Linked DNA regions of Drosophila melanogaster. The protein of the gene in region 2 purifies or fractionates together with the protein of the main gene of each other region. This does not show direct contact. Each region holds a gene or a part of one and is shown on either strand. Other genes may lie near its edges. The genes, in order: Pbp49 and Bdp1.

The links.
Region 1: the proteins of Bdp1 (region 2) and Pbp49 fractionate together in Drosophila melanogaster (co-fractionation; one study listed by BioGRID). This does not show direct contact.

What each region holds. Positions count from the first base shown.
Region 1 is NT_033778.4:8,128,816-8,133,382, forward strand, and holds Pbp49 (PSEA-binding protein 49kD), read right to left. Parts: upstream 2,509-4,567; 5' UTR 2,441-2,508; exon of another isoform or gene 2,358-2,440; 5' UTR 2,330-2,357; coding exon of another isoform or gene 1,877-2,329; 5' UTR 1,814-1,876; coding exon 680-1,813; 3' UTR 539-679; downstream 1-538. Other genes in the region: CG42516 (uncharacterized protein), read right to left, coding at 1,877-2,329; Pabp2, read left to right, coding at 3,219-3,317, 3,575-3,976, 4,127-4,260, 4,326-4,365.
Region 2 is NT_033779.5:13,370,797-13,375,986, reverse strand, and holds Bdp1 (B double prime 1), read left to right. Parts: upstream 1-2,162; 5' UTR 2,163-2,283; coding exon 2,284-3,292; intron 3,293-3,350; coding exon 3,351-3,679; intron 3,680-3,733; coding exon 3,734-4,483; 3' UTR 4,484-4,560; downstream 4,561-5,190. Other genes in the region: CG6565 (uncharacterized protein), read right to left, coding at 147-776, 836-1,483; ND-B22 (NADH dehydrogenase (ubiquinone) B22 subunit), read left to right, coding at 5,048-5,145.

The DNA.
Region 1 (4,567 bases), on a different chromosome or scaffold from region 2:
AGAAGCCGCTGGTCAAAGCTTTAACACTGAAGTAAACGCAAGCGCGTACACCAAAGAGGTCCGGGCGAATGGAATCCCAGCCTGCAGTTGTTCGTAATGATATTTGTTGGTCGGATTGGCAATATGTTGTTGATGCATTTCTACGCCCCAGTAACTAAGCGCACAGTCTCTCTTCACGTGCACGCCGGAATCCCAGTGCACAGAATTTTACTGTATTGTACTGCTAAGTACGGTTAGTACTAGTATCTTGTCTAGGATAATGTATTATGTTATTTGCCATATTTAGTCTATTGGTTTGTTTTATATGGGTCCTGGTCAAGTCTATACTCTGCACCACAGTGTGCAAATCCTTAAGCAAATTTTTAAACATTGAACTACTGCATATATGTATTAACGTAAGTTCTAAGCCAGATGTATCGTACTATTTACGTTGTTTGCATTTTTGTATTCCTAACTTGGACACTAACTTTTTGCTAATCTAGATTGCATGGAATTTAGGCAGCTTTACGGCAATCGAATACGTTCAATGCCAATTACTCTTGTTGCAACGTGTATGTATTTTATTTAAATCTATCTATGAATATTTTACAAGAACAAAATATCAATCAACTCCTTGAGCGATCTTGCAGTCAAAGGAGCTCGCAAATAAAGAAAAAATCACACAAATGTATATGTATATTCAGGAGGGGAGATTTTGCTGTTTAATGTCCTCCTCTTCGCCCTCCAGCTCTACATGGTCATACATGCGATAGGCTTTGAACTGGCCCAGCTTGACACCATCCACGTAAAAGAAGCTGAGAAAACATCTGCGGCACAGGTAGGAGGGATCGTGCAGCTGTCGCCGGGACTGGTTCACGATGAAGCTATAGCTGCGAATGCCGCACATATAGCAAGTCCTGCGATTAAACGTACTGAAGGCGTGAGGATAGGGATACAGGCTGCGATCTGGCCGTTTACTAAGTGGCGTTAGCACCTCTACCTGGGAGATCACAAACAGGTGTTCGCAATTGCCGTGGTGCAGGTAGTGTAGCGGTGATCCGGGGCTGACAGTGAGATCGATGAATCTTTTGCCCTCCATACTCTCCACCTTAAGCGTTTCTCCGTTCACTCCGTTCGCTCTGGCAGCCCACTGCAAGACGGTCTTGGAATAGTCGGGATTGTCCGGATTGCGCTGGTCGTTGTAGAATGTGTCGTTGATGAAGAAGTAACCGGGATTTGTGTCAATGGATGGCAACGGTGCATCTGGATCGTCGCTGATGTCGACAAACCGTTTTCCATTGCAAACGCAGCTGATCTTGTCCCGCAGCTCGGTCAGATAATTGCTGCCCAGACATACGAACTCCTCGGCGAAAACGGGAATCTCCACCTTAAACCCGCGATGGTAGGCCCGCGGTGGTCGATATAGACGCACGGTTAGCTCCAGTTCGCCGCAAGCATCGATGTGCAGGTTAGGCGAGTCTGTCGGCGTCGGATTCAGTTTGTGGCTGTACTGGGTGCGGCCAAAGGGACACTTACGGGACTTGTCCTTGTGCTGGCTTAGAGCAGTAAAAGTGGAGGGCACATGCTGGTTCTCCTGCGGCGGAGAAAAGGTTGGGCGGCATTTGTCTGCGGCGGGCTGGAAGACTGCAATCGAGCTGTCGTCTGGGGACTCGATCAAGTCCAGGGAACAGCTTTCAGACACGTCGACAAGTACTGGGTTTTTTTGGAGAAAGAAGGGCACTTCGTCTGCAGTACCGGATATTTTCTTTTGATAGTCGGCTAGAAAGTCTCGCAGGCTTAAAGCTGGATTCGTTGTAATATAGGTGGTATCCATGGTACTAAGAGGTATGTCTTGAAAGAGTGTTTTTTGTTCAGGATTAGACTCAGTTCTCCACACTCAATGATCTTCTCCAAACTTGTTAATAGCCTCCTTGTAAGTTATATTTAGCTTCAGAGATTCTGGCTTTGGCTCGGTCTGATCGTCCTCTTCAGTCTCAGCCGACTTCTCCACCTCCTGGTGCAAATTGTCCACGTAGACCCTTTCAAAAGATATCACCTTGGTGGATTTGTCCACGTACTGGTACCGCTGGCGACACACTGACTCAAAAAGCGGATCACTTGCCAGATTGTCTTTTTCCTTCTCAAAGAACACGTTGGTTCCCACGGAATGTTCGTAGCGTCCCCGATAAATGCTTCCATTTACCTCGGCCATGGGCGTGTCACTCTCGATTCCGATGATCTTAATGGCCGCGTCCTCGTGCTTCAGCTGGTGCGGATGAATGTGGTTCTTGAAATCCGCAAATACCAGGTACTCTGTGTCCTCGTACTCCGAATCGGAGGAATCGTTCATGTTCTCCTTTTATCGTTATGCATGGGCCCTGATTGATGGTTGAATGATGGCGTTATTTCGCAATATATGACTTCCTTAAACAATAATTTGTCTGATTCCCATTTACAAAACCTTGTTAGAAATGTGCGTGCACATTCCTCTTCTTTCCTTCCTATGGTAAATTTAAAATGGCATTGTGGTGTGAAAATACTATTATTTTTATCATCCAAAGAACTGCTTTCTTAAATACCGGCAGTTATCGATAGGTAAACCCACCACCAAACCATCGAAACTATCGAGGCGAAAACTGTCATCGGTAAAAACGAGGCGAACACAAATCTGTTTCAATTTGTGTCAAAAACTACGTACGTTTTCGTATAGTTGTAAATATTAGTAAATAATAAATAAATAAGCTTATAAATAAATATTTATGCTGACGTGGTGTGGCGCGAAACAAAGTCGAAAAGGGTTTAAAAACGTAGACTTTTGAACGAAAAACAGCAACCCAGCAACCCAGCGTACGTGTGTTTTCACAGGGCAGCCATTTTGGGCGAACTCAACGTCAGCAGAACGAGCTCGTAATTTGTACATTTATTAAACGTAAGTACAGTGTGTTTAATTAAATATCAGTGTAGTAGTGCGAACGCAGTGAAACCTAGACATTTCGGTGTCCGCAGCCTGAATTTATTTACTTATGGCTTGGATTTTCACTGCATTTGCATGATGAACTCTTCATTCGCGCTCTTAATGTTTTACGCTCTTTATGCTCACTTTCGCCGCCCTTTTCTCATTGACAGCTACCATACATACATAGTTACGACAACTGCCGTTTTGAGTACCACGCCGGAAGCTTTTGCGCCAACAAAACCGAGCTTTTGTAGCAGACGTAAACAAACCCAAATCCAAAGCAATGGCCGATGAAGATATCACATTGAACGAGGATCAGCTCCTGGAGTCATTGGAGGAGACGAACGGGGAGCAAGAGACTGAGATCGCCACAGAGGTCGAGGTGAGTTGGGGTTGCCCTTGTAGACAGTGCCCAAGAACCAGTTTCTTGGCCTCACGCCTTGCGAAAGCCCGCCGAATTCCCTGGAAAAGCTCGCAAAGCTTTGGGGGATATACAAAGCCGAAAACCGCAGCAATGGCTGCCATTTTCAGAGCGTCACTTCGCACCGCCACTCCATTCCATTGTCTGCTGTGGTTTCGGGCGTTTGCTCATCGCTCCAAATCAAATACCACTAAATTTCATATTTTCCTCGTCGCCAGGAGGAGGGCAGCATGCAAATCGACCCGGAACTGGAGGCCATAAAGGCTCGAGTCAAGGAGATGGAAGAGGAGGCCGAGAAGATAAAGCAGATGCAGTCGGAGGTGGACAAACAAATGGCCGGTGGGTCTACCACCGGCTTGGCCACAGTCCCGCTTTCTCTTGAGGAGAAGCAGGAAATCGACACGCGGTCCGTCTACGTGGGCAATGTGGACTACGGCGCATCGGCCGAGGAACTGGAGGCCCACTTCCACGGATGCGGCACAATCAACCGAGTAACCATACTCTGCAACAAGGCTGACGGGCACCCCAAGGGATTCGCATACATTGAGTTTGGTTCCAAGGAGTTTGTCGAGACGGCATTGGCCATGAACGAAACCCTCTTCCGAGGGCGTCAAATAAAGGTGAGTATCTGAAGCACTTTTTGCTAGTCCTGCTACCTATCAAACTCTCATGTACATATGTGGATAGAATGAGTCCTAGGGACTCCTACGTAGCGCAATTTTGAAAGCACATATTTAGAGTTGACTTTAGCTTAATCTATTGACTTTCAGGTAATGTCGAAGCGCACAAACCGCCCTGGACTCTCCACCACAAACCGTTTCGCACGCGGCAGCTTCCGGGGTCGAGGAGCCCGTGTCTCCCGGGCGTGCTGTCACTCCACCTTCCGAGGCGCCCGAAGAGCTATGTAAGTGGGCTCTGGAAAATCCCGATTGGATCGAGCTAATCCCGGTCTGTCTTTCGTTCCAGAAGGGGTTACCGTGGTCGCGCCAATTACTACGCTCCTTACTGATTATTGTTTTATTAAAATCCCTAGTAAGGTAAGTTGACAATTTCGAACTGAAAATAATTGATAGTTGAAATTTTATATGTGTGGGTTGCGTCCGATTTATGTCGGTTACATAAAGTAATCCGATATCTATCTCTTATATTTTGATACATTTTTTTTCTTAAAATTTATAAAACCAATGAGGACGTCTTTTTATGTTAAATTT
Region 2 (5,190 bases):
TTCGATTTCTCTCGCCTGAATTTTAAAGCCGATCGAAGGGATGAACATAAGATGGAACTGGGCTTTCGGATGGTTTGATACGTGGCTCTGTTGGGCAGGGAGGTCTCATGGGAGCGGGAGCAGCCAGGTATATAATGGTAAAGGAGTTAACGACCTGCTTCGGGTTTACTATTGACCTTGCGCCGGCTCAAACTGCCCAACCAACTGCCGCGTTGCTCATTAGCCGTATATTCGTCATTGATAAGCGCGAATCCGTGAAACATGTCCTTCATCTTGATGGCCCGTGAGCAGGCGTAGTTCTTGGTGGCCACGTACATCTTGGTGAGGAACTCGGGCATTTGTTTCTGAGTAACCCAGGACTTAATATTCTGCGGTATGGGTATGCCCGGATCGTCGAAGTACGTGAGGACAAAGTGGAGGCCTGGCTCATGGAAACCGCGAAAGGGCTTGATGACCATCAGGCTCCAATAGTCAGTGACGCGAACTTTTCCAGACAACGCCGGATAGGTGTTGTGCGTGGCTCCGCGGTTGCAAATGAATATCAGCTTCTTGTTGTCGTCTTTTATGTAGCGGCGACAATAGACGTAGTCGCGATTGGCGAACAGTCGTGGCCACTGCATCTCCCAGTATATCAGATGCGAGTTGCTGCCCGGGACGGGATCCTCGCTGATGAGCTCAAGTCTTAGGGCCGTGTCGTCCCACTGGCGACGGTAATCCAAATCCGTTTGAACGTGGAGGAAGTCGTCCGCTGTGATGTCGTCGAATCGAGCATAAACCTGCAAACGGAAAGGCGGCATAAAAGTGAGCCCTAAAAAACTTTTAGATGGCCTCTTACCTTGTATGAGTATAAGGAGGAGCGCTCCTGCCGCCGCCAAATGCTGAATTCGTTTTTGCTAAAGTACGGCTCCCATTTTTGGTCGTCCTGGGCCTGAATGCGTACCGTTCCGGCCGGTGCATTGCGCACGTCCAGATCCAACGGTCGCAGACAATTGCTGATGCTGGTGTCCGGATCCGTCTCCGCCTCTTTGCTGGTGGACGGCTGGGATTGGCCCTTTTTGCAGCGCTGGTTGCCCAGCTGACAGTAGCAGTATTTCATCTTCTTGGCCTGGCAGCGGTCGCACAGCTGATTGTTGGGCAGGGCGTTGATAAACTCAATATCCCGGCGGCACAGATCAAAGTTGGACAAGGCCAGGCGCTCCTTGTTCCAATCGAAGCCATCGCTACCCATTCGCTTGATATTCAGCCCGACGAGACCCACTGCACTCATCACCATTCCCCGCAGCGGAGGCTGCAGCTCCCGGCGGTAGTAGGCGCGCCATAGCTGCTTCAGACCCTGAGTTCCATACACCGACTGGTAGAAACTGAACAACTGCTGAACGCGACGCGAGCGCTGGGCGAAAATCGACTCGCATTGGTAGCTCCAGGCACGCAGCGTTTCTCGGGACTGGTTCTTGATGGCCAGTACAAATCGATTGAACAGCATGCCGGCTAATTCAATTTGTCCGTCGGCCGCCCGCTTGCATAACAACCTACTCAAAAGTGCGGCGACTTCTTAATGCTCCTTCGCTATTACTGTGCCCCCGCACACTTGGCACATTTGTCGCCAGAAAACTTTGGGAATTTAGTACTTCTAGCCAGGACACACCCGATAGGTTTGCCGGAAGCGTTACTGCACGAGAGCTTGGTTAGGATCTGGGCGGACTTATCATGTTTGCCCGATTAGAAAAAACGTGCAACTTGCAATTTGTCTGCTGCTTCTGTTGTTATTCCGCTGTTGTTGTTCCTGTTGTTGTGCCGTTACAGGCAGCAGTGTTGGAAAATCGCAAACCGCCTGCTGAGAGGTGACAGCTACGATCAGTGATCACACTTTTCTGCAACACTGAAACACAAATAATATTAAATTCAACCAAACTTTTACTGTGTACAAATTTTTGACGTGAATCTGGTGAAGTGTGCCATAATTTATACCAATTTATTTTTGACACTGCGAATAAATTTACTTGACATGCTTTCTAATAACGCAGTTATCTCGTTTTTTTTTTATTTGTTAAAAAATCTTTTGGGTACTGCAAGTTTTTTATAGCCATTTTGAAACTTTAAATAAATTGGTTGTCTACTTTCTTACATGGCCAGGACACTGTGAATGCTCTTTGGCGTTAGCCAACACTATACTTGGGAAACTCGTGGTTGCGGCCGCATTGTTTTTGTTGCGCAGATTTTGATTCGATTTGATGTGTGAAACTGCGGTTGAGCCTGGAAGAAGCCTAAGAGTACCCAGGCAGGATGTCCATGCGGCGCCAGCGCATCAAGGCTCCGGCCAACCTGTCGCTTATCAAACGCAAGCCACGCAGGGAGGAGCTCCCAACGGCGAAAAAGGAGGATGAGGAGGAGGAGGCGGTGGTGGTGGAAGCAGAGGCTGAGTCCCCGCCCGTTGCATCGACCCCTGCTGCGGAATTGGAACTAGAGGCTGATGCAATCGCCTTCAAGATGCCCGCAAGCTCGGCTGGGCAGCTGGAAGAGGTATTCCACTCGGACCTCGAGGACAATGTCATTCAGATGGACTTGCAGAAGACCACCAATGGCTTCCCTATGTCGCCCAGCAAGGCTCAAGCCCGTCAGCGTGTGCGACCCACTCCGGTATTTGGCCAGCGACGCAACAGCTTCGTGGGCTCACCCATGGCCAGTGATTATGAGGGCGACTATCAGTCGCCAGCCACGCCCACGCGGCGAGAGCGCTATCTTAGCGGTTCTTCATCGGGAACTCCTTTGCAGCAGCAGGTGCACTCGCCTATGCCTCCGTCCCCCTATAAATACCTACCGCCCGCTAGTCCGGGCATGGGACGCATTCGCACCGAATCCACCTGTTCCACCTATTCCGAAGGAGGTAGCAAGCAGAGGAAGGGCGACGATAGGTCGCAAAGTCAAATTGGACAGCGGTTAAATGCCCGGCGAGACTTTGAAACCCGTTTCAATAAGGGTGTACCCGACAAGTCCACGTTCAAGATGATGGACATGATCTTCTACAATCCGGAGAACAATCCCATGGTGCCCAAACAGTCGGTGACGACCATCAAGGATGAGTCTGGTGGCGATGATTCCAAGCCCGCAGTCAGTCAACTATTGGAACCCAAGGGAGAGTCCACATCCGCTATGTTAGTGCCTCAGCTAAAGCTTGATGCCAATGGCGAGATGATCATTGATGAGAAAACATTGGAGATCGAAACCACGGCCGAGGTGGAGGCCCGCAAGGTGCTAGCCAACTCATCGTTAATCCTAATGGACGAGACTACGGGTGCGCCGCAGAGTTAATACATAAAAGTTGAATACTTAACGAATTTTATACTTTGCAGGAGATAATGGATTCTATAAACGCCACAAGCGCACGCCATACTGGACCTCCGATGAGACCGTCCGCTTCTACCGCAGCCTGCAGATCATTGGGACGGACTTCTCGCTGATGTGCCAAATGTTTCCAACACGTTCACGTCGGGATCTAAAGCTGAAGTACAAAAAGGAAGAGCGAACCAATGGGCAGCTCATAAACAAAGCACTCCTCTATCCTAAGGCCTTCAACATTCAGGAGCTCAAGGATCAACTGGAAGAGGAGGACCGCGAAAGGGAAGAAAATGATCGCAAGTGGAGGGAAATCGCACGAGCTCTTCCGGGAAACCCTAAGAAGGTAAATAATTTGTAGCTGACTGTAATCACCATTACATTTTTTAATTATATTTAGCGTTCCCGAGTACAGCAGCAAAGCAAGGCCTCAAGGGCACTAAACGATGGTGATGTTGTCTACGAAAACGAGCACGTAACGAGTACAAAGCTCGGCAAGCACGCCTGGGCCAAAAGGCGAAAGGAGTTGGAGACCGATGAGAACGACGGAAGTGCGCCGGCCAAACGTAAGCCAAAGGCTAAGCGACGATCTCCCAAGGTTTCAGTTCCAGCGGCAACGGAAAGCCTGTCTGATGTGGCGGCCATTAAGCAGGAAAAAACGATCAAAACCGAACAAACGAGTAGTCATTTGCCAACGGGGGGAGAACTGCAGGCTGAGCTCAATGGCCTCCTCATGGATGATCCGGTGGAATATGACGTAGATGTAAACAAGCCACGTGATAAAACTATTATCAATATGGATGATGGTACCCTAAGCTATGTCAGCGACGTCGAACCCGCCCCAGAGACGCCCAATCGAAAGGCAGAGACATATTTAATAAACTTCATTGAAGACCAAGATCATGAACTTATAACGCCGGATGACCCCATTCCGCCGTCCACTACCGAACCGGATATCGAACAAATTCTCGCCGAGCTTGCGGAAGGATCTCTGGCTCTCGTCTCGTCCTTGGATCCAGAGCACGAGGATCGTGTGCTCAACGAAATCTACATGCTGGACAAAAAAACGGGCGAGTTGTGCGAAACGCCTCTGAAAATACCAGAGCATATTGTTCAATGCATAATGAATGTTATGCAGCCAGAGGACTAACGACATTTTATATTTATATCTTAAGAGTATTTGTTAACAGTTATAATTTATTAAAGCATTTCGCTAGATGTATTTACAAAATTACTTTCTTGTTCCTCGCAAATTCAAAGGGAATTGCAAAAAATGCAAAAATGGGACTGACTTTCTTGGTTTCTTTAACTATTCCTAAAAAAAATTGTAATTAATATACAATTATAACAGATTTGTCAAAATAGTCTTATTTTATAAATAAAATAGGGTAGCAAGAAGGCTTTTAAGCATTAAAAGTGTTTGGTTATAGGTATCTACTCTAGACAGGATCATTTCGATTTCTTGCAATAACAAAAGCTTGTATAAAATGCAAAGATAGCCATTGCTTTTGTATAGAAAATTTAAATCAAATATATAAATATTTTTTGAATTTCCATTCATTTCAGAGTTGCCGTTCTCTAAAATTATTTTTCGCTTCGCAACACATATTTTCAGGCGCAGGGCTTTAGAGCACTGGACTTTTGACAGCTGTTGTTGTTGTTGCCTCGGCTGCGGTAGCAAATTAATACAATTTAACCAATATAGTAAAAAACGATGGCCCAAGTTCCCTTGGCAATCGTCTCGCACAAGCGCCAGGTGTGCAGCCTGTACAAGCGAGCACTGCGCAACTTAGAGTCGTGGTACGACCGACGGTGAGTGCACTCGGCGCAGAATTCCCAAATATTATATAATGAGCA